Linked DNA regions of Lonchura striata. The protein of the gene in region 2 purifies or fractionates together with the protein of the main gene of each other region. This does not show direct contact. Links are inferred from orthologs where the notes say so. Each region holds a gene or a part of one and is shown on either strand. Other genes may lie near its edges. The genes, in order: REPS2, RALBP1, CCDC6 and AAK1.

Evidence for each region.
Region 1: the proteins of RALBP1 (region 2) and REPS2 purify together in Homo sapiens (affinity purification with mass spectrometry; 3 studies listed by BioGRID and IntAct, counting the BioPlex papers as one, with this or other methods). This does not show direct contact. The link is inferred for Lonchura striata from reciprocal best matches to the Homo sapiens genes RALBP1 and REPS2.
Region 3: the proteins of RALBP1 (region 2) and CCDC6 purify together in Homo sapiens (affinity purification with mass spectrometry; 3 studies listed by BioGRID and IntAct, counting the BioPlex papers as one, with this or other methods). This does not show direct contact. The link is inferred for Lonchura striata from reciprocal best matches to the Homo sapiens genes RALBP1 and CCDC6.
Region 4: the proteins of RALBP1 (region 2) and AAK1 purify together in Homo sapiens (affinity purification with mass spectrometry; 3 studies listed by BioGRID and IntAct, counting the BioPlex papers as one, with this or other methods). This does not show direct contact. The link is inferred for Lonchura striata from reciprocal best matches to the Homo sapiens genes RALBP1 and AAK1.

The regions. Positions count from the first base shown.
Region 1 is NC_134604.1:100,730,501-100,737,924, reverse strand, and holds the start of REPS2 (ralBP1-associated Eps domain-containing protein 2), read right to left. Parts: upstream 3,021-7,424; 5' UTR 2,983-3,020; coding exon 2,785-2,982; intron 2,632-2,784; exon of another isoform or gene 2,624-2,631; coding exon of another isoform or gene 2,489-2,623; intron 2,482-2,488; exon of another isoform or gene 2,105-2,481; intron 1,640-2,104; exon of another isoform or gene 1-1,639. UniProt on the Homo sapiens protein: Involved in ligand-dependent receptor mediated endocytosis of the EGF and insulin receptors as part of the Ral signaling pathway. By controlling growth factor receptors endocytosis may regulate cell survival.
Region 2 is NC_134603.1:51,665,939-51,673,913, reverse strand, and holds the start of RALBP1 (ralA-binding protein 1), read right to left. Parts: upstream 3,018-7,975; 5' UTR 2,930-3,017; intron 1,161-2,929; exon of another isoform or gene 884-1,160; intron 1-883. UniProt on the Homo sapiens protein: Multifunctional protein that functions as a downstream effector of RALA and RALB. As a GTPase-activating protein/GAP can inactivate CDC42 and RAC1 by stimulating their GTPase activity.
Region 3 is NC_134609.1:4,139,341-4,146,350, forward strand, and holds the start of CCDC6 (coiled-coil domain-containing protein 6), read left to right. Parts: upstream 1-4,003; coding exon 4,004-4,312; intron 4,313-7,010.
Region 4 is NC_134634.1:248,358-255,263, forward strand, and holds the start of AAK1 (AP2-associated protein kinase 1), read right to left. Parts: upstream 3,004-6,906; 5' UTR 2,989-3,003; coding exon 2,826-2,988; intron 1-2,825.

The DNA.
Region 1 (7,424 bases), on a different chromosome or scaffold from region 2:
CACTTCATTCTTAGCAAGACCCAGGACTCTCGGGTGCACGCCATCTGCTCCGACTGACCCGGCTGCTCTTGGATTTTTTCCATTTATTCCAGCATTTCCTCTTCTGCCACATGCTCTGGCATTCCCTACCTGCTCGATGTTACCTTGCCTATTTCATCCATGTATCTTCTTGGAGTAAGCCAACTAACCTGTAAACCAAACCAAATCCTTGCCTGTTTGCTGTCTGAGTGCGCACACCACTGCTTTTCCCCTAGGAACTGACACCCCAAACAGCACTACTCCATCCAGCATGCACCCACTGAATTTTGTCTTAACAGCAAATACTGCCATTACAGGTGGGGAAATGGAGAAGATTTTCTGTGATGCTTGTGAGCATCATCCTCAAACAGTATAAGGAAAAGCTCCTTCTTTCTCAAAGATTTCTCCCACTTATTACACAAGTACAACTGAAGTCAACAGCACAGGTTTGAGACTGCACAGCACTAAATGTCAGTTCTGGAAGCATCCTGATTTGTAAAACCACTCCTCAATGAATGCCTTGAGAATAAAAAGCTGAAAATTGCCCATTGCTTACAAAACCATCTATAACTGTCTCTTGCCACAGCCCATGCACGGCCAGAGAATGGTGTTAAGTACCCGCTGGACTGTGCCGGCTCTTCTTAGCAGAAATCCAGAATCTGTTTCCAAACCAAATCTCCCCATTTCTGACACGAATAAACTCAGCATGATCATTTCTCAGTTGGTCAGTAGGGATGCTGCCTGTATGCAAAACACTAATAGTGACAGATGGAGATTTTAAAAAGCATTAAAAACCCCCAAAAAGCATTCATACTCAAAAATTATTTCAAAGAAACCATGTTATCCTAACCCAAATGAGCTGTCTTGGCCTAAAATAGGTATTCCCTGTACTAGCAGAAAACATATACCAGGAATCTCTGTGTATTGCTCCCCTAACTGTTAGAATGGTGGGATTTTTTAATGTGAAAATATTAAATTGCATTTTTGGAATATAGTAAGAAAAAACATCAGAAAAATATCTCAAATAACATTGTGGAATTTTCCCTATCAAAACATCCCCATTTGCAATTCATTGTTTTAACTCCTTCCATTAATTGATTTTTCCTGAAGTCTCAGTAAACGTAAGAATACCTGGCAGCTGTGGGTTCTGAGGACAGGCACACTAGCAGTAGAGCAGAATGCCACTGTGATTAGTGCCCTATAAACAAGAGGGGGAGGGAAGGAAGGAAAAAGAGAAACAGACCCAGATCCCACAGGCCTTATTATCTGAATATTCCTGAAGCCAATTACAGGCTTCTCTGCCAGTAATGTTCTCACCACAACATAAATATACCTGGAAATAATCTAAATAGTTTTAAAAATCCCAGAATGTCAAAACCAACAAATAAATGCAAAAACAAACCCCCCAAAACAAAACCAAAGTTAATACCTCACCGCTTCCAGGCTTAAATCACACATTAGTACCAAAATGACCCTGAAAACAAACTGTGATACTAACATAATGATAAATTTCACTTAAATGATAGGGTAAGAAACTACATAGCTAAAATAAGAGGGTTTTTTCTGTACTTCTTGGGGAAAATTAAGTGGCTATTTGGATAAGCCTTTTTATTTGAAATTAAATGTCTTTGCAAAAAGAGGAAAGAGGAAGAACACTCCTAGTGCTGTGTCTATGCAAAATCTCTATTTTCACTACTCCATTCACCTGCAAGACCAAGGTCACAAGTGTGGTTCAATACAAGGTAGTAATACAGTGCTTGGTAAGATTTTTGTTTAACTGATCTGGTAAAAAACACAAATAGGAAGAAAAATATCCTTGGAACACCACAATTTTCATTCAGAATCCCCTGCGCAATACGAATTTCTATAACCCATTAAAAGATCTGCCAGCTATCAGGACAGCAATCAGGTTCACTAGGTACATGACCTTCATTTCAACATAACTTTTTTCTGCTTGATAAATAAAAGCTATTGAAGAACAAAATTCCTGGAAATAAAAGTTAAATTAATAAATAGATAAACAATCAGAAATATCCTATCTCTGTTCAGGAGGTATTAGGCAACTAGAGTGTGTTAGTTAAATTACCACTCTGCAGGTGGAGAAGACCCAAGCCCGGTTCCTCCCTGTCCCTGGAAACTGGCTGGCACAAGCTTTCTCCCACCCCGGACAGGCTTTTCCTCAGAAAGCAGGCGGGCTCCGCCTCTCAGCCCCTGCTGGGGACCACGTCTGGGGCTCTGCTGCTCTCACGGGGAAGGGAGACCCTCGCACTTCGCACCTTGTATTCGCGCTCCTGAACTGACACAAAACACCGCGACATCCTCTTAACCTGCGGACTTTTTACCCACCGAAACAACATTTAGGGAAAAACCCTCAGTGGTTAACCAGGAATTTAGCACATGGCACGTCCTTTCATACAACTGCCTTTATGACTTTCGGGGCCCTTTTGAGAAAGGCGACGGCACTACCGACCTGACGGGGAGAGCCCGAACGGAGCCCGGGGTTGCGCAGCCCGGCACAGCCCGGCACAGGGCGGCCGCTCGGAGCCCTCAGAGCTCTCCAGCGCCGGTCTGCAGGAGGCCAGCGGGCACGGAGCAGCCCCAGCATCGCCGCTGCGGGCGGGACCGGCCCCGCTCCGCTCTGCCCCGCCGCCAACAGGGCTGTGCCTCGTCCCGGCCCCGCGGGCAGCGCCGGACCCTCTCCCGGAGCAGGTCCCGCTCCACGCCCCGCAGCTCCGGGGGAGCCGGACCCGACAGCCCCGGACCCACCTGGTGCAGCGTGTCCGGGGGCAGCTGGGAGGCCCGGAACAGCTCGCCCACGCTGCTCCCCCCGGCGGCCGCCTCCGGGGGCGGGCAGCACCGCGAGAAGAGCTCGGAGTAGCGCTGCTGCTCGGTCTCGCTCAGGGGCAGCAGCAGACCCCCGGTGCCGGCGGCGGGGCCGGACGCCCCCGACGGCCCCTGCTCCATGGCGGGGCGGCGCAGGCACAGCCGCTCGGCCGGGCAGCGGGCGCCGCGCCGCCGGGGAGCGGGGGGACGGCCGGGGGGCCGGGCGGTGGGACGGGAGGTGTGGCGGGGCCCGGGGGCGGTGCCGCGCTGCGGCGGAGAAGGTGCAGTCCCCGCCCGGTGAGCGCCGCGCCGGCTCCGCAGTGCCCCGGCCGCTGCCGCCGGCCCCGCCTCTGCCCTCGCTCGGGCCCGCCGGCCGCCCGCCCGCGCCGCCGAGCCTCCGCTGCGCTGCGGGACGGCGCTCACGGCGCTCGGCAGCACGCGGGCTTCTCCCCGCATCCTAGACTCACGGAACGGCTTGCCTTGGAAGGGACCTTAAAGGACGTCTCGTTCCCACCTCCCTGCCATGGGCTAGACCCGCTAGACCAGGTTGCTCAATTCCCCATCCAGCGTGGCGTTGGGCACTGCCGGGGACGGGGCATCCCGCACCAGTAGCGTTTCAAAGTACCACCTGCTGCTGAACGTGCCACGTGGGCACCACAGAAAAGAAATGGCATCATTCGATACTCTGCAGTGAGTCCTAATCGATTAGCCATGACAGTCTGAGAGAGAAGCATCTCACCGTGTTCTCTTCTCTCTTGTGTTTGCTTTAAGGTGAAGGGCAAAGAGCCCCTTGTTCTTGGAGACAAGATTCCTCTTTATTACTCCTTTGTCAGCAGTGACACTCTAAATGTTCCATTCACAGGTCAAGCAACACCTCAAAAGTCAGGCAGATCACCACCGAGGTGGGAGGGCTGGGGACATCTCAGCCAGGAGGTTGTTTGTGTGTCTCATACTGGTTTTTGCAGCCTTTCTTCCCAGCAGTTCTTTAGGGAAGTTCAAGGAATAAACTGACCACAGATATTTACAGGGTGATCCTTGTAAATATCTGTGAGGAGTCAACAACTCTTCACAGCAGCTTTGGTGCATAGACATGGCCTGGTCTATGGAGAAATAAGACTACCTCTTGTGTATTTCCATCCTGTACCATTAACAATGTCGGGTCAACGTTGTTACTTGTGTTCCTGAATGCAAAACATTGGGGAAGTCAATGTGGTTTAATTTTTATATGCTTCTTTAGTATTAATCCAGAAAAAAAATGAAATAAAAATGTAATAATTTTACATGACATTTTTACTAGAAAATAGTTCAATTTATGGTCTGTAAAGCCAAAAATAAAATTACTATCTCATCACTTCTATTCTTGTTAATCAAACATTGTTACCTCTTTTTAAAACCTTTTTTTAAGCTACTTTATCATCTTCACACCACATATCTGTGCCTCCTTCTCACTTGCACAAAAAATGCAAACTCTTAATTCCTGTAATCCAAAGTGAAGATCTGTTCCTGCCTTCTCAATGTGTGGAACACATTGAATGGTTGTTAGATACAGCTATTAGCAGGTGAATAATTTCTACATGTGTTTAAGGATGGAGTTTTATTGAGAAATCTTTTTTCTTTTAGGGACAGAGATTGTCATGGTATTTTCTCATTTTAAAACATATTGTTATACAGGAGGGCAAGACTATTTCAACATCTGAATCTTGTAGCCCAACTTAAAGTGGCAAATATCTGTAGTAGCTAAAAAAAATTAGGCAAGTCTGCTTGAGAAGGCTCTGCAGAGCAGAGTGAATGACCCTCCGACTGCAAGGTACATCACTTGGAGAGTCCTAAGATGTTAGTGGCCTTTTCCTGTGTCTCCAGCCAGGTACAAGGTACTGCTTTGAGGAAATGGTGCCAGCCATGTGGAGAGGATGTAAGGCCATACCTAATTATTGCCATATTTAACTATATGACCCTCATGATAAAATATCTTCAACCTAGCTTGTGGAAGAACAGCTCGCTTCCACATGAACTTGAACAGGAGAGATGTTACCCTGACAAGCAAAAGAAAACACAGTAAATAGTTTGTGCTCCTTGTGCATTTTTCTGTGCCTGAAAATGCTCATCTGTAACTGACTAGCTCAATACTTATGAAACATCACATCACAAAAACATCACAACACAAAACATCACAACAAATACGCCCTTTGCCAACACTCCAGCAGACACCATTTGATCTTGGTTGATGTGTTAGTCAATTCTTCAAAGTTTTTCTAAGGTAGAACCTGGCAGGAAGATTTTGGAAACACACACCATCCAGAACACAATAGTCTGTTTCACCAGTCACACCTCTTACTGCCAACACAGGCAGCTGCTTTTTTTTTCTCCTTTGGACGTTTTTGTCTTCTTCCTTGACCTTTAAAACTTGCATTCCTCTCTCCATACAGCCCACTCTCATCAGAAGTTACACAGTGGCTGTGTTCACAACCAGTCTACCCCAGCGTTGTTATCTCCAACATGTTGTCTCCAACACATGAAAGAAGTGAACCACCATAAGCCGAGGGGGCAGGCAGGAAATCCATGCCTCTTAAGCTGCCAAGTACGTGTGAGCCGAGAGGTGTACCTGGTGTGAGCTGAGCAGCCCTGCTTGCCTTTGGGGATTACAGGGGGTGCTCAGGTGTCTGTCTGCTCCCTGCAGGTGTTCTGCACTCAGCAATGCCAACCACACCAATTTCCTCTGCTGCACTCACCCCTTATGGGGAGTTTCAACCCACCCCATGTGCCAGCACCACTTTCTGTTCAGTCCAGTGCACCCTGTGCAATGACGCTTATGGCCTTTGTGTGCCATAAAGTTCTTGTGACGGTACATTAGTTCAGACTAAGAGGCACTTAATGATAACAAAAGCCATAGAAATATCATATTCAGCCTTCCTGTTTACATGGAAGCTGTGACATCATTACAGGTTACAAAGCTTCCCTACAACTAAGAAATGCTGCGTATCAGTATCAGAATCCGAACAATTCAAGTGTTTATTTTTTGCTGGAAAAAATAGTCAGTAATGTAAACTGAACTGAAATCTGACTTATCAAACTATGGCTTAGATCTGTGTGTGGTCCTCCTTCCCTCCCCACCCAACTAGTAATGCAATTACTTACTCTGAAGTCAGCCAGCAGCAGTCCTGCAAATAATTGTGTGATCACATGTGGGAGGGAGACAGAGGTCGAAGTAAAAAAAAAAAAAACAACCAAGAACCAAAACAAATACTACTTCCAAAGATGTGCTAATGAAAATAACAGTATATATAATAATATGGAAATAACAGATGATAGGCATATTTTTGTTCAGGATATAAATTAGTATAAATTATCATGTATAATATGACATAAAACCTAACCTCCAGTAAAAAAATTCTCCCGATACATTAGTATTTAGGAGATCCTGGGAGTTTTTATTTGAGCAGTACAACCAAACACTAGTCACTCAGATTCATGTGTTTTTTCACAAGTCTTAGGGTTGAGATCATGTCAGACTTGTCCTGGCCAAAAAGGCATGAGATCTGGCTGACAGCTGCTTTCCATTGACAGTGGAAACACTCCATATATCGCCAAGTAAAGCTTTGGAAATTTATGCAAATGGTTGGCTGGAAAACTGTGATTTAGCTTTTTCCAAACCAGTTCAAGTAAATATCACCCACTGTCCCTCATAACAATTCTTTTTATTTACTTTCTTTACAAATCAAAGAAGACTTTGATGGCAAGCAACTGGTGGGACATGTTTCCTGACTGTGGTATCAGACATGCTTGGAATACACTTGACAAGCCTGATGTTTAGTGTATAGATTCAGCATGCAAATACTCATATTCTTCTTTGCATAGTTGCTTATTAAGAGATCCTATTTCTAAGAAAAACAGGAGAAATGCTTAATTAATTGTACAGTTTGATTCCCTATTTTCCAGCTTGTTAACACCTTTAATGCATGAAGAAGACTAAGAAATAGTAGCTGTTTTCTACTCTGACCAATTCATTGTTTTCAAAAATTAGATAGCAGCATAAATTGCACATTGTGGAAGATGCAATTCCTGGCAGGTTGTTTGTTTTCTGTAAGCAACTGAGTACATAATGGAGAACTAGAGTTTGTGTCACAAAATATATGACAAATATCCACATATTAATTAGTTGGGAGGAGAGGAGGGAAGGAGGGAAAGAGGACCACACACAGATCTAAGCCATACTTTCATAAATCAATTTTCAATCCAGTTTACATAACTGACATTATTTTTTCTAGCAAACAATAAATACTTGAATTGTTTTGATTTACTGGTATGTAAAGTTTCTTGGTTCCAGGAAAGCTTTGTAACTTAAAATGGTATTACAACTAATTGTGTTTAGAAAGTCTTTTTGTAAAGTCCTTTTATGAACATTTATGCATATAGTATGAGCTTTAGTTGCAGAAGATAAAGCCCATGCACACATCTTTGTAAGAGCAAGGACAAAAAGTACAGTGCTTTTCAGGTAACTTTCCAGGAAAGTACATCTTCATTTCCATTGTATTCTATCATGGTGCCTCCAGTTTATTTCTTTTAAAATAATGGCTTCATGTGAA
Region 2 (7,975 bases):
CACTCCTTACTTGGGTAATACCATATAAATCCTCCACTTCGCAGCAGCTGCCCCAAGTAAACAGTCATTCCCCAGTTTTTACTGCAGCCTAAAGAAAAACTGGAAGCAGGGAGCACTGGATCCCTGCTGCTATTAAGCTTTGCAGACTTGCTCTTGCTGCCACCATCAAAATCTGTTTCACCCTTCTGTACCTCCACACCTTCAACTGAGTTTGTATTCCCTGATGTCATGCCCAAAAGGTGAGGGATGGCTGGGATGAGAAGGGTAAGTATGGACAGGAAGGGAGTCATACCAGTCCTTTCTCTAAACTCAGCCTGCATCCTTATGCTTCTGGTTTTGGCCATGGCAGGCAGAAGATGTAAACCTTATCTGCACAGCAGTCACCCTTCAACACCACCACTTCTGCGGACGCAGCCAAACTAAAACTTCCTACTCCATAAGGTGCTTCCAGCCCAACTATGGGCCCATTTGATATATTTTTTTTTTTTTTTTAGCAGCAATTTGAAAACTATGATCCATGAGGCACTGGGGAACAGCAGGAGTTGACGAAGGATAGCAAACCATGCACATAGCAAACCATGACTAGTTGTAAGAGTAGCCAATCATTCACTGATTCAACACATTAGTTCAGAGATAAGCTTGGTAGATTATGCTACATTATACCACTATAAACTGAAGGTAAATATCATACTATATTTTAGCATTCTGAGGCTAACCACATGACATCAAGCTTTACAGAAGGAAAATAAATTAGCATTTGGTGGTATTTATTGCTGAACAGCAACATCTTCCACATCAGTCTAAAACCTGCCCATAAGAAACAGCAGTGTTTATTCAGGAAACATGCAAACCTTTTCTGTAAGAAAATACAGCTAAAACTTACTGGGAAGGGTGCCTGAAGGACACAGTGGAGATGAGAACCCCAAAGAGTTAGATGCAGCGCTTGTGCATGTCAGTTTTGCTTTAAGGACATCTGCAGAACCAAGACACACAGCTCCAAAGCAGGAACACGGTTATTACAATTCCAGGACAACATACTCCAGTGCAGACATGCCCATATAGAAATGGAAATAATCTGCCCTACAGAAAAAGAACTTTCTTTCTCACATAACTACAATCACACCAGCGGTTTCACTGGGAAATCCTTACTTTGGGGAAAAGCCCCACCAATTCAAACTACAAAGTATGCCCTCCTACTCCTGAATACACCTTAACTAAGAACAATGTTGAAGTTGTGCGTGGAGTATTAAGATTTTAAGGCAGCTATTCCTATGCTCCATTTCAGATGTGGGAAGACTAAAGAAAATTTATTTTCTCCAAGCTAGAAATAAGACCCATAGGACAGGGAATGTAAAGTTCCCTACTTCAACGTAACAGACACTCTATTCTTGCTGTAGTTAGCTAGAACATTACAGCAAAAGGGTTAATAAATTTCACACACCTAGAAGTACTAAATGCTCAAAACTACAACAGTCTGGAAGGGTTTTGGTTTTTTTATTTCCACTTTATTTCTCTGTGGAAAAGTGCCCCCCAAGAGCTTGTCACACTGACTGTAGGGATTATACCCAGACTGCGCTGAAATGAACTGAAGCACAGCACCATTCACCACCAGCTGTACACAACACTCAATCAAAACCCAAATCTAAGGGATCTAAGGGATCCCTCTGCCATTTTCCTGTAAGCTGATTAATAAATTTACATCCATTACTGTTCTGCATCATATCCAATGAAGCCTTAACATCATTCCTGACAGGGTGGGTTATGGCAATGCAGAACACTCATGGTAAGCACATCAACCTGTTTCCAGATCAGAAACCTGTTTAAGGGCACAGTTAGGGCTGTTTTGCTGTGCTGAAACAAGGGACTTGCACAAATCACCCTGGTTTATGTAACAAGTAAAAAGGCCTTAGCCTGTTTTTTTAAAAATTACTATTTTCTATCAACAATTATCATTAACCTCAGGGACACTGGGGTGGAGGAAATCCACACCACTGTCATGAACAGATACGTTCAATGTGGATTGCTGGTATTTTCTTTGTCACCTGTTTGAACATCTGTTAGCACTTAAAAAAAGATGTATTTGCTCATATATAACCCACTAACATATCCTTGGAAGTGTTCAAGGCCATCTGGGATGGGGCTCTGAGCAGCCTGGTCTAGTGAAAGGTGTCTCTGCTCACGGCAGAAGGGTTGGAACTAGATGGTCTCTGAGGTCCCTTCCAAACCATTCTGTGATTCTATGATGAACAGTAACACACACTTTCTGAGCAACATTATCAGGTATGAAACACGACATTCTTAGAACCAGCTAATCACACTAGATGCAGAAAAATTACAATAACAGTAAGTTTTCTGGGTTTTAAGATAAGACTTCTAGGCGAAGGTAAAAGAATAAAAATCCCTGACCTCTCCCTCCCCACAAAAAAAAAAAAAAAAAGAAAAAACCCAAAAAAACCCAACGAAAGACGACCTTGCTGAGAGCCAACCCACAGCCCAGACTGAGCTGCAACGAGCCCCGCACGATCCAAAGGGAGCAGCCGCCTACGGAAACAGGGCGCACAAGGTGCCCGGCGCCTGCCCCCGTTAGGGCAGGAGGGACAGCGCGGGGAGCGGAGCGGAGGGAGGAAAGCAAGGGAAGGTAAACAGCCAGGAAAGGAAGGAGCGCGATGGAGGAGCAGGGGAGGCGGCGGCGCAGGGAGGGGAGCGCCGCCAGCGGGGCGGTGGGCGTGGCCGCCGGCAGCCCCGCCCCTCCCGCCGAGCGGCCGCGCCGGCCCCTCCCCCACCGGCAGCCGCGGGGCGGTGGCGGCTCGCGCCGCCCGTTGTAGGCGCCCCCCTCCCTCCGCCCCCGCCCGCCCGGGCCCCGGACGGCCCCGCGGCCCTCACCGGCGCGTCGGGCCGGGCCGGCCGCCCCCCGCGCCCCCGCACTGACCGTCGGGGGGTCCCGCTCGCCCGCGCAGCGGCTCCGGCTCGGCCTCACGCGCGGCGGGCACGCCCCGCCTCGCGCCCCATCCCGCCGCCGCCGCCGCCCGGCGCTCGCAGGGACGGGCGGGGAGCGGCGCGAGCTCACGCCACCGCGCACGCGCCGCTGCCTCGCTCCGCGCGGCCGCGAGGGCGGGGAGGTGGGGCGGGCGGGACTGGGCTCCCCGCGCGCGGAGCACGACGGGAGTTGTAGTTCCCACTGGGAACGCTGCCGGCAAGGGCACTCCAGGTTGCTGCTGGCCGCCGCACTACAACTCCCAGCGGCCAGCGCGCTGCGAGGGAGTTCCAGCTCCGCTGCCCCGCATCGCTGTTGAAGCTCCGCGGGGTCCGGCTGCTTGAGGAGACTCCGGCGGGATACGTGTGCGAAGCCCCCTCAGCAGCCGCCGGGAGCCGGCAGCCAGCAGGTGCATCAGTCCTCTGGGAACACAAGGAACGCAAGCGCCCCTGAGCCATGCGCTCAGGGCCCTTGTGGTCACGAACGCCAGGGATGTCCTGGGCTGCAGCGGGAAGAGCGCTGCCAGCAGGTCGGGGGAGCTGATCCTGCCCCCTGTTCGGCACTGGTGGGGCCGCATCTGCAGTGCTGTGCCCAGGTTTGGGCTCCTCAGTACAAGAGAGACATGGAGCTCCTGGAGCAGAGCCAGTGGAGGGCAGCAAAGATAATTAAGGCACTGGAGCATCTCTATTATGAGGGAAGACGGAGGGAGGTGGACCTGTTCAGCCTTGGGAAGAGACAACTGGGAGGGGACCTCTTCAACGTATATAAGTATTTGAAGGAGGGAGGATGCCAAGAGGATGGAGCCAGGCTCTTTGCAGTGGTGTCAAGCAATAGGTTAAGAGGCAACAGGCAGAAACTGATTCACAGGAAGTTCCACTTGGATATGTGGAAGAACTTCACTGTGCAGGTGACCATGCACTGGAACAGATTTCCCAGAGAGGTTGTGGGGTCTCCCTTGCTGGAGATATTCAAGCACCATGTGGGGACGCAGTCCTGTGTTGTGTGCTCTGGAATGATCCTTCTTGAGCAGAGAGGTTGGACTAGGTGACCCCGTGTGGTCTCTTCCAATCTGACCCGTTATGTTATTTTGAGATTCTTTTGGCAGTGATTACAGATGGGTATGGCCAAGTGAGTTGTGAGATTACACTAGTCAGAATGGGAGGTCAGCAAACACCACAAGCCATCAGTCTCAGTGGGAGCTGACACAGCCCCGCAGGTGGGGGCGCCTGGACCACCTTCCATGTGATGTTACTGCTGACAGAATTCCTCTTCCTCCGTTCACATGAAGGCTTCGGCTTCATCCACCATACAAATCTGACCTCCTGAGAGGAGTTACCCACTTCTCTCTACTGCTTTCTGGAATGCGAGAGAAATGGGGAAAGGCTCTGGATGCTGCTGGAGGTGACCTGTGCCAAGGAACACATCCCCATCTCAAGATGCATCCTGTTTACAGTGATGTTATAAGGAATTTTGTGGGGGTTTTTTGCCTCTTACAATGGAAGTTTCTGTTACGTTGAGCACCTGCGTAATTTGAATCCCTTTCAGGATTGCTCATCAACAGGGGAATTTGTTTCAGTCAGAAGCAGGGCCGATTCATTCCCACAGCCTCGAGCATAATCCCCGGCCTATTGGACACATTAATACCGTGGCAGCGTGCCACCTGCTCCATTTATTCACTTGAGACTCAGTGCTGCTTAGTCCCTGTCGAATGAGCTCTTTGTGCCACCTCCTGCGGTAATGTAAAAGGTCCCCCACAGGAATTTGTGCTATTCAGTGGAAGCTACAAAAGAGAGGGTTGTAAACACTCCGATTAGTGTTGGAGCACAGGGATATTGTCTTCACCACTTTTTACATAACCTCGCAAATTCCAGTCTCCCTCCTCCTCTCCAGAAGAAACAGTGTAACAGCAAAGGCTCACCAGGCTATTTAACTTAACATCACAGCCAATGTGTTTCTTTTTTTGTTGTATATAAAGGCCGCCTTACTCCTGGCAAAAGAAGAGAGAAGGGTTAGTTCTGTAACATCCCGTAGTAATTTGAGATGGTTGCCCATGAGGATCCCCACTTGAAGTGACAGTGGCCAGAGGCTCTCAGCGCTGAAGAATGTGTATTATTAGAGGCCACTGCCAACAAAAGTTCATGCACAATGGGCTCATCAGCTAATGAGCCCAGAATGAATTTTCTCCCAGATTTTGAGGACAAACAAATGATTGTATGCAGTGCTGGCTATACCAATTTACTGCCATGTGAAACAGATTTGGAGGGTTTCTGACTTGCAAAATTCACTGTGGTCTGGGACCAACTTACACAGACTGAGGCACTTTCTTACACCCTCAGCTTGCCTCACATTCACTCAGTAAATTCTTACTGCTTTAAAGACAAAGTGAAGCAAGGATTCTGAGGTGGCAAGCTCTCTGCATGGAAAATCAGTCTCACTGATGTACCTGAGCTTCATAAAAGTAATAAAATAATAATGGAGGAGAGCTTCAGAAAGCATTTGGTCAGGGAAAGAAAAGGGGAAAGGCATAGCTGTGTTAATAAATAATTCCTTCCTCCTACTACTACTTCAAGAAAGCCAGTTCTGGAGTTGAGTTTGTCTTGAACAGATGGGAGTCTATGTGGGCTGTATCATTCTGGGATAATTTCAGATGTGCTGTGTAATTCTCCTTAGCAATAAAGGAATACACAGCAAACATAAAAATATTTAGCTTAGGAAAGAAACGAGTTGGCCACAAACTGAAACAAACAAGTGAAACAATGAGAGCCTGAAGATACAACAGGAAAACCTAGAGGTAGTAAATTAGTTCATGCCTTTGGGGGAGAAAAAATGTTCATAGAAATTACCACAGAGCAGGAGAACAGAGCCAAAAAGGTGTATGATCCTGAACTCTGCCTAAGCAACTCCTATGAGCAGTATTATGGAGCAACAGAATCACTGAATGGTTTGGGATGGAAGGGCCCTTAAAGACCACTTATTTCCAACCCCTCTGCCCCAGGCAACCCTAGAACAGGTTGCTCAAAGCCAAGTAATTCCAAGTTCTCTGTGGTAGGAAGAAAATTTATAAATACTTGTCTTAGTTTAGGGCAAATTTGGGGAAAACCCTCTGGAAGGAGCCCCCAGAAAACAACCCCCCATGGCCCCTCCCCACCCACCTGGTTCGGGAAAAAAAAAATTTTCTCTGAGAGAAGTGGAAAAGAACCTGTTTATTTAACAAACAAAGCACTCCCCAGCACCAAAAAAAAAAAAAAAAAAAAAAAAAAAAAAAAAAAAAAAAAATTAACAACAGATTGTTGGAACTCAAAATGTCTCTCAGACATTTTTGGAGGTTCCAGGCCTTGGTCAGAAGCATTTTAGACCCTGGCAGACAGCTGAAAAACAGCTGTGATTTTGAGTTTGATCCATGGAATGATTTACCAACTTTGGAGGTGGAACAAGCAGTCACAAAGGGTTAGATAGTATAGTAAAAGTAGTTACAAAGTAGAGGGGAAATTTTTTTAGTATTGTACAGGGGGGTTTTAGCACCTGTACAGGGGGGTTTTTACTTTGTACATGGGGGTCAGAAGTTCTAAGATGGAGGAAAGTGGGCTGATCCTGTTCTTCCTCCTTCTTTTTCCTTACCTCCATGTTCTTGGTGATGCTGGCACTTATGAATTGGTTTAGAGTAGAAAAGCACTTTGTAATATAGGTAGTAGGTATTGGGGAAAAATTGTAAACATATAATATGTAATATATCATATAAAAGATAGCAGCAGCCCTGGGCGGGGAGGGAGAAGAAGACACCAGACAGTGAGGGTGTCAGGGTGTGTGTGTCTCTGCTTGGGCCGCTGATCAAACAGCCGCAGCCCGCAAAGACAATATTTTAGATAACTCACAATAAACTGCCTTGGGACCAAACAACAAGAGCCTGCGGAGTTTTTCTTTGGAAGCACGGGTTGGAGGAGAGACTTTAGCACCACACGAGACCCCTGACCAAGCCCGGGGTTCTCACACCAGATGACAACAAAACTCTTTCACCACTCTGAAGAGATGAACAAATCCAGAAAGTCTTTCCTGGGAGTGGTCGCCCGGGTCTGGACGCTGGGGATTGCTCTCTGGCACTGGGGATGTCTGCTGCAGATCACAAAGCACAGGCTCTCGGTGTTCCTTGGCGTTTCCCAGGTCCCAGTCCGGAGCAGGTTGGATGGTATTCAGGAAAAGGAAAGGAAAGAGTCCAGGGAAAGAATTGGACTGCTTGGCTAAACTAACTAGGAAGCAAAGGCAAAAGCAGAAGCAAGCAAAGCAAGCAAGCCAAGCAAGCAAACAAAAGCAAGCCAGCCCGCACTAGCCTCTTCTAGACAGCAGACCATGGGGGGAGGTGAACCGGCTGATAACAAGGCAAAACAAACCTTCACTTTCAGAGTCAGTTCTGAAAGCACAGAACATAATATCAAACATAAACAGAACACACATTGGAGATACAAACACCATAACATCATCCTAGGACAATACTTAAGCAATGAAAAGGGTATAAGAAAACTTGAGCCTCGGCCACCTTTACATCTTAGATTTACTTTTCTGAATCAGGGTTTGCTCTGTTTCTAAGAAGATTTTGTATCCAAGTGTGTTTTCCCATGTGAGTAGCACACATTTTAATGATGTACTGGTGATTTGGTGAAAGATGTCGTGCCAAGGCAATGTATCAAACCTTGGTAAAGGTGTTCCTTTTGCCAAGCCCAACTGACATTACCATCCAACAGGAAAATGTAAGGTTGTTGTTTGGCTGTGCTCTGCAGGTACCCCATCAGTACAGTCTGTCCTCTCTTCTCATTCAGCTCCTCCCAGGCTACGAGTCTCCAGGCTTTTCCCATGAAGGTGTAAGTGCCAGCTGTAGGTCAGGGCACCATGGGTCATGGGGCTGGAGACTGGAGTGTAGCCATGTTGTGTGGGTCTCTGTGTCACTGTGCAATGCCAGCAAACTTCAAGTCACTCCAGCCAGCAGGATGAGAGGCTTGGGAGCCAGGT
Region 3 (7,010 bases), on a different chromosome or scaffold from region 2:
TTTTCATAGTCAGATACTCTATCCTACTAAGAGACTTTTTTCCTAATACAGCTTTCTGATTAAATAATTGCTGGTCAAGAAAAGCAAAGCAGCATGACATTATTTTCTGAATTGCTTGTTAGAAAACATGCTTTAACTTGCATCAATATATGCCTTAATCCACAATAGTAGCGATTTGGGTTTCTTTTGCTCATACAAATACCTTTCAAACCAAACTTTGTCCCCTTCTACAACCTCTCCACATATGCACTCCATTTCCCCCTTTTAATATCCCCTTATGTACAAGTCATGTTCTTTTCAATGCTGCATCAGTTTGTTTTCCTAGCAGTATTTTTCATTAATTGCATTTTCCTGCAACTGTTTCTTTCCATTCCCTCTTCTCCCCTGCACCCCCATTTCAGTCAGGTACTCTGAGTACTATGCAGACTTTTTTTCCTTAGGTTAATTAGCTTCAGTTGGCCTTTTCCTCTTCAGTCTATAACTATTGAATATTTTAATGAAATTGTATTCTTACAAAAGGTCTTCCAGCTGATTAATGGACCTCTGGAATTACATAAAGGATTGCATTGAATCTCTGAACATACCTCTTCTAACCCCTCACACCTAGAAATGTACTTTATACAATATTTTTACTGTTGATGTGAGTTTATGGAACACTGTTTCTAATTGCCCATTACCTCCTGTAATGATAGTTTCTGTGAATAAATCCCTGTTTCTTCTTCTTGATTGGTCTGCTCTTCTACTATAAGGGTGCTGGTGACATTTTCATAGTCTTTATTTCTACAAACACCTTTCCCCCTTACAGTTCTGCATTTATTTTTCATGCAATAAGGAGATACTGAGGCAAAGGAGGGTGGGGACCTCGTCCTGCAGGTGCTGTGGTGGTGGCAGGGTGGTTGTGGTGGCTTTTCCTGTGATGCCAAGCCCCTTGCTGCCTGCAGTGGGGACCAGGACCAGTGGCACTTGAGCAGCCCTGTCAGTGGGGCAGCTTCTTCTTTAAGTGTCTTCACAACGAGGTTTTGCTAATTTTGCTTATACCACATATTTATACCTTTTTAATTGATTTGGTTAACATCCTACAGGTGTAAAAAGCATGTGATTTTTAATTTTTTGGGGGTGCTAATTCGGGTAACATTTTCTCTCCCTGTTTAATCTATTAATTAGGAGTAGTTGGTTGTAATTGTAATTAAATATAGAGGTACTGTTTTTTAAATTACTGAACTGCTGTTGCAACAAGAAGGATGCCGTGTCAGATCTAAACATCCAGAACCCTTGAGTCTTCCTCCCACTCCCCCACTGACTCAGTGTTTGTCATTGGGCAAGTAACTCAGCTTCCTACCTCCCTTTCTTGCCTTCCAGGGCTATTGTGCGAATTAATTAGATAATGTTTCAGCATAGCTTTGAACTAGAGACAGACACAGAAGTGCCAAGTTATAATTCACTGTTATGAAAGTCAGCTTGCTGGCTGGGAGTGAGACCTCTGATGCCAGCCCGGCAGGGACAGAGGGACAGCGAAAGCAGGCAGGGAAAAGCTCCCTTCTTGCCTCAAGATCCCTCATCTCCACAGCTGCTGTCTGCACCACCCCAGAGCTGCTCTGCTGAAGGCAGCACCAGCAGCTGCCTGCTGTGAGCCCAGGGATGCAGCCCCTGGCTGAGCCAATGCGGCCCGGCTGCTGGGTTGAGGAGGTTGCCTGCACCTCCCTGTCTGTTTTCAGGCTAATTTTAGTGTCTGAAGGAGCAGAGGACACGTCCTCTGAAAAATTATAGTGCTCCAAATCAGCAAAGCACTTAAGATTAACATTGATAGGTCTGAAGAGTGGCTTAAGGTTAAGCACGCCGTGGGGCTTGCTGGGTAAGATTAGCCTGGAGCAGATGCGTGTTTTGCTGATTCAGGCTTTCAAAATATTTAGGCCTTGATTCAGCAAGACACTCAAATGTGGGCAGTACTGGCTGATCAAAGCTGGGCAGACGGATGGAAGATAGAATATTGAGGTATAAACCTGCTAGTTCAGAACTTTGTTTGATTCCAGGAGCACGTGTGCATGCGCGCAGAGACAAACCAGCTTTCCAGCTATCGCCTGTGCTGCGGAGGCTGTGCATGAAATAACATTTCCTCATGACCCAGGGGTGTCCAGCCAGCTTCCCAAATACCAGCACACCTATTTGAAAGAAATTCTGGTGAAATGCAACTACCTATGCAAACCAGCATTCACTATATTCTGAATCCTATTTTAATCCCTCAAGGTTTTTATCCCCGAGCCCATGCTGGTGGCAAGGCTCAGCCTGGGCACGGTTGCAGGGTAGAGGAGCTGGCAGCCACCCCAGGTGCCTTGTTTTTCCCTGCAGAGCCAGGGTCTGCTGCAGGGGCACTTTAGGACAGCACTGAAAAAGGTCTCATGAGACCTCATGGACATCATCAACTACTCTGTGCATCTATGGCAGCATCTCTTGAGGACAATGCTCTTATGTTTTGGGAGAAATTCCACCCTAATTAAGCCCAGAGATGGGAAATGCAGCTGAGGGGCAGCAGCTGCCAGGGTGGTCATGAGGTTTGCTTGGTGGCTTTAATGTCCTGGGATGCAGGACCTTTTTTTCTTGCCTGAAAAGCCCTGAACTGATGCCTCCTGATGGGCTAAGGAAGAGCTGTGGGTCTCTGCTGGTGCTGGATGGGGATCCCCACTTTCCTCCCTCTCCATTCTGAGCCTTGTTTGGGGCAGCATTGTGTGCTAGGGACACACAGATGGAGATCAGAGGAAACTGCAGTTTCCAAGGCTCAGAACGAGGAGCACCCCTTTTCTTGTGATTAAGAGACCAAAAATAAAATGACCTGCACTTATATTCCCAGGCAGGTGAAAAGAATAATTACTTTACAGAGATGGAATTCCTTCATATATTATAACCATTAAAAAGAGTAAAATTTGAAATTTACTATGGCATGAAACAAAAAGGTAGTGCAGTTAGAGATAATGAAATCCTTGCTTGCCACTAATGGAAGAAGTACTGTTATTAAAGACTCCTTCATAAATAATTGAGAAACCAATTATACAGTCTTGGGACTAATTTATCCAGGAGCAATTCAGACCATGTTTTTCCATAGAATGAGTGGCACAAATTCTCCACTATAGTTCGCTGCTGCTCTGCAAAGAAATAGTAAAAAAGGAAGAAAAGAAAAGAAAAGGAAACTAATGCACCTACTAATCAACAAATACATTATCAGTAATGAGAGATGAATGTCCATATATCGTAAGGCAGTTTTGCTGATGTATGGAGGGTTGAATTAACATGCCAGTTGGTTGGTCTGTGTGCTGGGTGGGGAGCAGGGCTGGTGGTGGGGCTGTTCCCTCCGACTCCGACCCCGGGGCTGCTCCCCCAGACCCGGGGGCTCGGCGGGTGGGGTCCCGCTCCTTCTGCTGCTGGTGTCCAGCCCCGAGGGGCTGCGAGCTGCCCCGGGCAAGGGGCCTGGGCCGGGGACACAGCCCGGGCAGTGCCGTGGGCGCCGTTTTGGTACAAAAATTCTTAAACAAAACAAGGTTCGGGGCCGTTTGGGTCGTGTGCGGCGAACCCCCGGGCTCCCCGGCACGGGTTTAGCGATGCAATGAGATGAGTCCCGCTGCTTCCCGCGGGGGTCCCGCTGTGCAACGGATTCCCCCGGCCACGTCCCGGCCGGGCACATCCCGACATCGGGTTGGGTGTGGAACAGACCCTCCGGGCACATCCCGGGCCCAGGATTCGGTGTGTAGGGAGCGCCCCGGGGAATATCCCTCGGTCCCGAGTTCTGTGTATCCGAGATCCCCTCTCCTGGCACATCCCGGTCCCGGGCTCGGAGTGTCCTGGCTCCCCGCTCCCGGCCCGTCCCGGTGTGTCCCGGCGCGTCCCGGCTGGCGCGGTGCCGGCGCGGGCCGCCAGGCGGCGCTGTGGGCGGGCGCGCGGCCCGTCTCGGCGCCGGCGCGCGGCGGGCGCCGCCCCCTGCTCGGGCGGCGGCGGCGGCGGCGCGCGCGGGGCGATGGCGGACAGCGCCAGCGAGAGCGACACGGACGGCGGCGGCGGCAGCGGCGGCTCCGCGGGGCCGCTGTCGGGGGGCGGCCCGGGCGCGGGGCCCGGCTGCGGCACGGCGGGCGGCGGCGGCTCCTCGGGGGGCGGCAAGGCGGGCGGGATCGTGATCTCGCCGTTCCGGCTGGAGGAGCTGACGAACCGCCTGGCCTCGCTGCAGCAGGAGAACAAGGTGCTGAAGATCGAGCTGGAGACCTACAAGCTCAAGTGCAAGGCGCTGCAGGAGGAGAACCGCGACCTGCGCAAGGCCAGCGTCACCATCGTGAGTGCGGGCGGCGCCGCGCCGGGCCCGGCGGCGGGGAGCGGGGGTGTCCCCGCCGCGGGGTGTCCGCGCAGGGCGGGCCCGGCCCCGGCCGCGGCCTCCCCGCCGCCCCCGGCCGCCTCCCGGGCCGCCGCGACCATCCCCGCGGGCGGGCCCGGCTGTCAGCGCGGCCCGGCCGGGGGACGCGCACAGGTGGGGTCACCCCGCGCCCTTCGCGCCCCCTCCGGCTCCGGGAGGCGGCGGAACCGGCGAGCACCGGGCGCTTCCCCCGGCCGGACCCGCGTGGCCGCCCGGCGCCCCGCGGGGAGGCGGCCCCGCCGCCCGCCCTGCGCGGTGTCCGAGCGGCGGCGCTCGGGGAGGGGCGGGCACGGGAGGGCCGATGCTCTGTGCTCCCCTGAAGTTTCTCGAAGTAAGAGGTTTCCTTGGAGTTTCAGTAATCTGCGGAGATTACGGATTATCTCTTCAGCCACTGTGCAGAGCTGCAGGAATAGCGTCTTGGTCATGAGGAAGTGTCTGTGTTTGTAGTATTTTGTTTTAGCTGTGGTATTTCAAGTTATTTGAAAACTCATTTAAATAAGTCTCTTAAAAATAATGCGAGTAGAGCAGCACTCTGTCCCGGCAAGAGCTCAGCTCCTGGTTTATGACCACTGTGAGGATAACTTGGAGTTTAACACCATTTTATATGATGCTGTTAGGCAGGAATCCTCAGAAAAGTGTGTATCATAATACTACAAAAATATTGTTCTGTTCTTCTCTATGAGCTTGGGAGTTAAGAGTTTAAATTCGAGGGATTTTTGCTAATCCAGCGACTAAAGGCATTGTTTAGGTATTGTAATGGTCATGGTAGAGTAGGTAACTTGCTAAAGACCTGTTAAAGGTAACTGATACTGTCCCGACCGTCCCTGCCAGTGCAGGTGGAGATGTTTTAGGAGAGACTAGTCCCTCCTGTGTGTGCACACTCTCATCTCATCTAATTTTTCACAGGGAGTACTTCGCTGCGAGCATAATGTCTGTTTTATTGATACTCAGCTTTCCCATTGTCAATACATCTAGCCAAGAAATGGAGCTTGCCTAGGCATACCTCTCATCTGCTCCTAGTAGTAAGCATTCAGCGTCTAGCAGGATGTGGGCCGGAAGAGTGCATGAAATACAATACAGAAGTAATTTATTCAAGGATGACAAATATAGTGCTAGTCGGGGAAATGTGTGCTTTGTTAATACTTTACGAGAAGAGAATGTGCCTTAATTAGGTAGCGGCGGAGTGCCTTCTAATGTTGAAAGGGTCTAAGGCGCCTTGTCAGTCAGACATTTTCTCTCTGCCTGTTGGAAAGGCACAGCATCTTTCTGAACCTCTGGTAGATGTATTGTTTGTAAACAACTTGGAAAAAATGCTTGTGTGCATTACAGTTCTGGCAATGTCTCTAGGGACTGATCATTTTACCTTTTTATCAGATTTTTATTTATAAAAAGGAGATATTTTCCTTAAATCTGAAACTCTGCCTGCTTTTAACATCTTGGATAAAGAGAAGGAGAGGTGTTAGACTTTAATGGCAACCTGTAGGCTGTCTGGAAAAACGACCGTCTTTAGCTGATGCTGTGGCTTTGGTATGCTAAACTGTGTGCACGACTGAGTAAACCACTTCTAATTCAGCAAGCGGTGAAAAAACGAATGCAAAACAACACTTTTTTTTCAGGCCAGTGAGACCTTGTGCTGTGGTTTACATAGTCAACAATGTAAATACATGTGAAGTCAGAATACTTTGTTGTGTGGCTCTAGTATGCAGGTGACTGCAAATGAACTTTATTGGAATGTTGAAATGTGTGTCATTCACATGTAAACGTCACAGGAATAGAAAATTTTCTGATTGTCTCCACTGTGATTCTAAACCTTTGTCAGTTTGCTCCTCCAGCTCCTCGAAGTGTTGCTGCGCTGACAGACGGGCTCATTGTATGTTTCCTGTTGTGGGCATTGTAATGACACAAATCAGCTTTGATTTTTATCAAGTGTTGAGGACGAGCTGTGAAGCACAAGTGGACCTGACAGGTAGCCAAAATAGCAAAATAGCAGGTGAATGACTAAACCTGTGTGCTGTAGGTGAAGGTGACTCCTCGAACCACACAGCTCTTCACCTCCAAACCTTTCACTGATTCTGTTTTAGCTTTTTGTGTGCAAGGTCACAGAGACTCTTGGCTTTCTGCAGCTCCCACCATTGTCTTTATTGGTTCTGAAAATTTTCCCTTTAAAGTTTGCGAGTGATGGTCTTCCTCCTACCTCTTGTGTCCATGGTGGTGTAAGTGTTAATATGACATCTCTTTATGCTTGCAGTATTGTTGGTGTCAGCGTCAGTTTAGGAATTACCTAAATTGCTTGCCATATAGGATCTTATTAGTTCTATTTGTAGTTCACCCTTGTGGCTACAAGGGTTGAAAATAAAGTGTTAATTAAGCATAGGAGACCCACATTAAGTAGTTGCACTTGGAAAACTGAGAAAAGGTGTTGGCTTGGCAGGTTTAGTATGCTCACTAACTTCATGTGTATTCTCATCTAAAACAAGTGAAAACAAATGCTGCTTTCAAGCTGAAATTGGTGAAGCCAGCTTGGACTAAGCGTACGCCCAAAAATATGTGTGAGCTGTACTCCTTCCAGTAGCCTGAAATGCAAATGAAGTTATGCTGCTGTTCATGTGCAAGACTGTGA
Region 4 (6,906 bases), on a different chromosome or scaffold from region 2:
GCATTCAGCTCTGTGAAACACCACTCACCCCAAAACCAGCCACAATGCCCCTAAACCCATACTGGGGCACTGTGTGACTTCAAATCTGACCCTGCAGACCCCCAGGACCAACAGCACTGCCCTCCCACCACAGATAATCCTTCTGCAAACTCTGAGGGGAATTTTTCAAGAGCTTATTTGTGCTATTATATAGATTAGAGCAGGAGAGTTACAAAGACCCAACTAGGTACAACCTATTGCAACACACTGTAAAAAACCCACTGATTCACCGTATCCTGACGCCACAACCAACCCCTCAAATTCCTTCTACATTATTCCCATCTACTTCCTTCTAAAAAGGAAAGGATGTTCCTCCCTGCCAAGGCAGGCAAGCATCCAGACAGAACTATTTTTAGGGGTGAGGGGTGCTCCTAACCAGAACAGGTAATTTGGGAGATCCACACAAGAGCCCAGAGGTATTTGGAGCCATTTGCCACTTGGCACAGGCAGTGCTGCAGCCAGGGCACACTCCTCACCAGCAGGGTTGCTCAGCAGAATTCAGGGTGACCAGGCACAGCTCTGAGAGCAAATCACAATGTTTCAATTCCAAAACTTCTGGTTCAACTCAAGTCTCCTCCGCACCATTCATCACTGCATCAGTTCTCTCTTTAAGCCACTTTTACATCTCTTTTTTTTTTTCATGTTTCACAGGCTGCACCTAAACACAGGCCTCCCCCCTCCCTCCTAAAGCAACGGGGATGACAGGTCCTTCCTTCCCAGACAGGATACTCCTCCTACAAAGTGCTTCCCAGGGGACTTTTCCTTTTAGCAGAAATAGCCAGGAGTTGCCTCTTCAGCACTGCTGGAACCACTGCAGATACAGAGAGGTTTTCCAGCCGAGGTTTCAGACGTCAGGAGCGTGGGGACCGGGCTGCCCACGAGCTCCCCAGGTCTCCAGCTGAGTCAGGGTTTAGAAAAGGCTGTTTACCAGCACACTCAGCCACACTCAGGCATGCAGAGCTGCAGCACTCCTGACCCACGCTGCTCCCCAGCTGGCCCAACTTTCCTACAGAGGAAATGGCATTGTCACTGTTCCCAACAAAAGGTGACGAGCTGCAAACCGACACACCGCCTTGCTCGTGTCCCCTCTGCACACAGAAGGATTTCACACCGCCCACAGCAAAGTCTCGCTGGGAGGGAGATACCTGGGCAGCACCTTTCACCAGAACTCCCTCTGCCTCACAGAACAAACACAGCCCCTGCTTCACAGGTGTGCTAGCCTGCTGTGAGCAGCCCAGAGCTGCAGGCCGTGCTCCATCCCACAGCCAGCCCAGGAAGCAGGAGATGCAGGGAAAAGCCCCCACAAGCAGCAGCTCCCCCCAGGACAGGGAGGCAGAGAAGGGAGGCTCTTCTCTCAGGCAATTCGTGCTCCCACCTCCACCTCTGCTGCAGCAGGAGAGCCCGGTGACACACGGCTTCGCTTCCCGGGGCAGAACCTGCCAGCACATTACTCATCAGCAAAAAAAGCCTCTGCCTTCCCATGTTACCAGGATGAGGCCATCCTGCATTAAAAAGAGACTGACAGCTTCTCAAGTTTAGCTCATGTAGATCCTAAGCTTCCAGGGCCAAAAGGGCCTCGCAAGTATCAGTCCAGGCAAACCTGTATTGCAAATTTCAAAGGAAAAAAAATCACTATAGCTGCTAGGTAAAAGCCTGGTTTTGGTTCTCCTCTCAGCAGAACACATCAGAAACCAAGTCTAAAAAAACAGCCACAGACCTATTTTCTTGTACACCGCGGTGAATTCTTACAAATCTGAACACAGGCAGCGTACACAGAGTCCCTTTTCCATTTTAGGGCTCTTTCTGTAAAAGCCAACACAGGTCCTCCCACTCAGCTCTCTCCCAGCAGCTCTCCTCTCCTTCGCCATCAAAACAAAACACTGTTTGGACTAAATCTGCCCAGGATGCTGTGCAGGAGGCACCAGGAGCAGGTCTGAAGAGGCCAACATCTCTCTGAAGGTCGAGGCTAAGGTTACCAGGCAGAGCCATGCAGGAGGTTCCTTACAGCCCCAACAAATGAAATGTAAAATGATAGTTCAAGCAGCAGGGCTGGTTACAATTAAACAAATGCCACCAGCAGCTTGCTGCACTGCAAGGCCTGCACACATCATGAGTTCCATAACCCCTAGGATTCATTTTTAGGTGTCTGTTTTATTTGGGGAAAACAAAATAAATAAATAAAATTATAAAAAAAAAAAAAAAAAAAAAAAAAGGCAATTGGGATCACCACTTCCCCTTGCAGACATCCCACACACAGAGAAATCCCTCATCCCAGGTCACAGCCAGCCTATGTACATAACATAGCTACAAGGAATTTACTCCAGTGTTTTAATCCTCTCAGCTTGAGATAGGAAAGGAGGTAACAGCTGAAGAAAGTTTAAGAGTGAAGGACACCACTTTTTTTATTTACAGCACCTTGTTCTGCACCAAAATATTTGACAATTTTGGTTTGGGTGTTTGTTTATTTTGTTTTTTTTAACTCCCAGTTTAGAAGAAGTGAGAAACAACTTCTAACAACATTCCTCCAATTTCTGAAGCATTAAAAAAAAAAAAACAAAAACAAAAACAAAAAAAAAACCAAATCCAGGAAACCCACACTGGACTTACAGATGGGAAGATCAGACACGTCAGCTTACAGACACCACTGGACTGCAATTCTGCCAAGGACGGTGAAATACTCAGGAATCCGGGGGTCAGGGAGGAGGCTGGGTGCCCGGGACAGCTCGAGGCCTCCCTTTCAGCTCGGGGAGGCAAAAGCAGCGCTCAGAACGGCACCGGGACCTTACCTTCCGCCAGCACCTCGTCCACCGTGACCTGGTGCCGGCCGATGCTGAAGACCCGGCCGATGTAGCCGCTGCCCGGGCCGCTGCTGCCGCCGCCGCCGCCGCTGGTGCCCGAGCCGGGCCCGGAGCCGCCCTGCTCCCGGCGCGAGTCGAAGAACTTCTTCATGTCTCAGGAGGCGGCGGCCGCCGCGACGCCGGTGTCGGTGCCGACCCCTCCTGGCTCTGCCGCGGCCGCTGAGCGGGGCCCGGGGCCGCTGGCCCGGCGGGGCCGAGCCGCGCTGTCCCGCGGGGACTCACACCTGCGGAAGCAGCGGGGATAACGGGCTGGCGAGTCACCGCCGCGGGCCGCTCCGCGAGCCCCGACCGCGCGACCCTGCCCGGTACCTCGCAGAGCGCGGCGGGTGCCTCCATGCGCCCCGCGGGGCCGGCCTGCGCAGCCCCACCGGCTCACGGCGGGGGCCGGCTGCCGGCAGCGCCCGGGGCCCGCATCGCTGCCTGGCGGCGTCACCGGCGACCACCGAGCCCGTCAGGGACACGGACAGGGACCGACCCCGCCGCCGCCGCCCCCCGCCGGCCCCATCCGACCAGGAAATGGGCCGTCACAGGAAGTGCCGGCTGCCGCCGGGAGCACCGCCCCCGCGCCTCCGCCAGCTGCGGGGCCCGGCCCCGCCGCCCCGGGCCGTCCCGTCCCGTCCCGTTGCGTTCCTCCCTGTCCCGGGATATCGCGTCCACAGCGTCCCGTCCCGCGGGCCTCGGAGCGCCCCCCGCCCCACGGTGCGGCGGGCGGGGGAGCGGGGGCCCGGCGGGCTGGCGGCGCCGCGCGCGGCATGCTGGGGGCGGTAGTTCGCCGTGCCAGGCGGAGGGGGGGCCCTGGGGGCGGCGGGGACTACAAGTCCCGGCATGCCGCGCGGCGGGGCCGTGAGGGGCTGTGGCGGAGCGGCCGGGCCGCGGTCGCTCCTCAGACCGGCCGGGGCCGTGAGGGGCTGTGGCGGAGCGGCCGGGCCGGGGTCGTTCCTCAGACCGGCCGGGGCCGTGAGGGGCTGTGGCGGAGCGGCCGGGCTGGGGTCGTTCCTCAGACCGGCCGGGGCTGTGAGGGGCTGTGGCGGAGCGGCCGGGCCGGGGTCGCCCCTCAGACCGGCCGGGGCCGTGAGGGGCTGTGGCGGAGCGGCCGGGCCGCGGTCGCCCCTCAGACCGGTCGGTACCGGAGGCCCCCACAGGAACAGCGGACGGGGCCCGGGGGCTCTGCGTCCTCCTCGCCGCGAGGGATGAGTGCAGAAATCCTGTCCGTGAGGAGCCACGGCCCACATTAGGGCTTTGCACGATGACGTGCTCAGTACAGAAGGTTCACGTGCCCTTCGGAATAAATATGAACCGAGTAAAGTCTCAGGTGCTTCGATCCATTATTTTTAATTTTTTTTTAATTTCTCTGACTTGTGAAAATCCCCAGGCATCTCTCAAGACTGGTAAAACACCCAGTGCAAAATGTGGGTCCCATCACTGGGGATTTCTGGGGACTCTGCAGAACTGAACAATTTCCAAGGAAATTGGGCATCTCTGTAGAGCACAGGGAAATTACTCATTTCCAGCTAAAGAAGATAAAAGCATGCAGAGAGCTGCAGATGCACTGCCGAGCTTTTTTTAACCGTACCTGCAGTGCAGTGCAGGCAGTGTCAGCCCCACGCACGGCTGTCAGCCCACGGGCACACAAACCCCACCCATGACCGCTCTGGGCAGCAGCAGGCTGCAGACGCTGAGGATGTTCTTTATTCCAGGAGACACAAGGCTCACCGCACTGCTGCAATCCCTGTGACCTTCACGGGGATCAGAGGGAGCTGAGCCTGAAAGCTCCAAGTGGAAAAGCTGATCTGTGGCCACAGCACAGATAGGGCCTGGCGCTCCTCCCGTGTCAGAGTGACTCCAAAGTGCTCCCAGCCTTGTCCTGCTGCAGGCAGGAGCCTCTGACTAATGCACTCAGTCCTAAAAAACAAATTTTAAGCTGCTGAAATCCCATGACACAAGGTTTAAAATATCCGAGTGTGGTCAGCAGAGCTGCTTCCCTGCACATTGTCTCCCTGATCCCTGGTTCTCCTGCACCGCTCAGAAAATGCATTCAAATCCCCAGGAAGAAGCACATTAATACAGCTGCATCCCTCTTCATCAACTTTCCAGCCAGCTCAGCATTTTCTAAATAAAAACACAGGCCTGGGCAGGTTTCCTGCGGCCCCGAAAGGCGAGGGCACACTGGCCCCTTCTGGAGAGCTCCGGGAGCAGCAACGACGGAGAGCAGCGCTGGCACAGCTTCCTGTGCTTGCTGCCACTAAACTGGCCAGGGGAAACAGCCGTGGTCACATTTTCCTGACTTCACCGCATAATAATGTAGTCTTAATCACACGGCAGTGTTTATCTTGATGAGGATGTTGGGAGAGCCTTTTTTACACAGTGATAGGGGTAACTGTTTCAAAGTAAGGGAGAGATATTCAGATTAGATACAAGAAAGGAATTGTGCCCTGTGAGGGGGATGAGGCCCTGGCCCAGGGTGCCCAGAGAAGCTGTGGCTGCCCCTGGATCCCTGCAAGTGTCCCAGGCCAGGCTGGACAGGGCTTGGAGCACCCTGGGACAGTGGAAGGTGTCCCTGCTCATGGAGCCTGGAACAAGATGAGCTTTAAGGTCCCTCCCAATGCAATGCATTCCACAATTCTGTCTCTTTAATTATACATTTACTGCAAAAAACTCTGTTAAGCTTCTCACCAGCAAATAAAAGATCCGCTGTTCTATCCATCTCCCTGCCTGTGATTTTCTGGAGTTCCAGGATTTCTTTCCAAGCCCACAGTAGTGGCCCCCAAACACTATTAGCATAATGAGAAAAATCATCACTGATCTTCATCACCTCCAAGAAAACATCAGTTCTCAAGCACAGTGTCATGCAGCTGGGCTTTACTGGGTCCAGAGTTGTGCAGAGGAACAAAAATACTCCAGAAGTCAGATCTGTATTTCACATGCTTAAAAACTTCCACCTCCTTGGTGCTCCTGTTTGTCCCTGCAGGAATCCTCACTGGCTCCAGCAATGGCTCTTGCTTCCTGTGGCTGGAAGCCAATCTTCCATCCACAGAAGTGGCACACCCAGAAATAAAGGAGCTGATTGAGCTCTGCAGGCTCTCGCATGTGGGATGCAGCGGCCTGGATTGACCCTGTGCACAGCCAGGGATGGAGCACTGGGTGGGAAAGAGCTGTGTTTCTCAGGGAGCATGACTGCACCACAGCTCCTCTCTGTCCCTTCAAGCAGCTGCTGTCACCCTAAGGGAAGTTTGCAGGCTAGGTTCTCCCGGAGAAGGGATTTATCAGCTGTGTTTCCAGTGTCAGGATCCTGTTGGGGCTCCTCCTGCCCCAAGCTGCCTCACCTGGGTCTGCCCACACCCTTTGCTCACTTCTGTTTCAGAGCAGGGTCAGGAAAAGTCATCCTGAGCTGGGCAGTCATAGCTCTGTTTCCATCCCCTAGAGCTGGGTTATGGCCAAATTACAGAGCAACTAAGTAAGATTAAACTAGATGGAGGCAGATACTAATTAAGAAGAAAAAAGTGAAAGCTACTCATTTCCTCTTCAGAACTAATGAAAGTAAGCATTCCTTAAGCCCCCTCCCTCTCTGGAGGTTTTTGCTGACTCCTGTTCCCCTTTGGATGGATTCACGGTCACAGGCAGCCAGCGAAGCCATCAGACCACCGATGGCCCCGGACTGTTTTCATTCCCTGCTGTTTATAGCTTTAGTGAATAAAAGAAAACAGCAGACTGGGCCCGTGGCCAAGTGCAGCCTTCAGTTTCTCTGTGGGAGAAAGGCAGAGTGGGTGGGTATCTCTGAGGCAGTGTCAGCACAGCATATGCTGGGGGACAGCAGTGTGGAGAGCCCCCCGCAGCTCTATCAGCCGAGATGCTGCTAGAGCTGTCAGCGTGAGGAGCTGTGAGAGCAGCTGGGATCCCCTCCTGTGTGCCCACCTGCAGAACACGAGCATCCCCACCCTGGGTACCCGGTGATTGAAGCACTCTTGGAAGGGGAATTTGACTCCCGGCTGTCTCATCCCCGCAGTGCTCA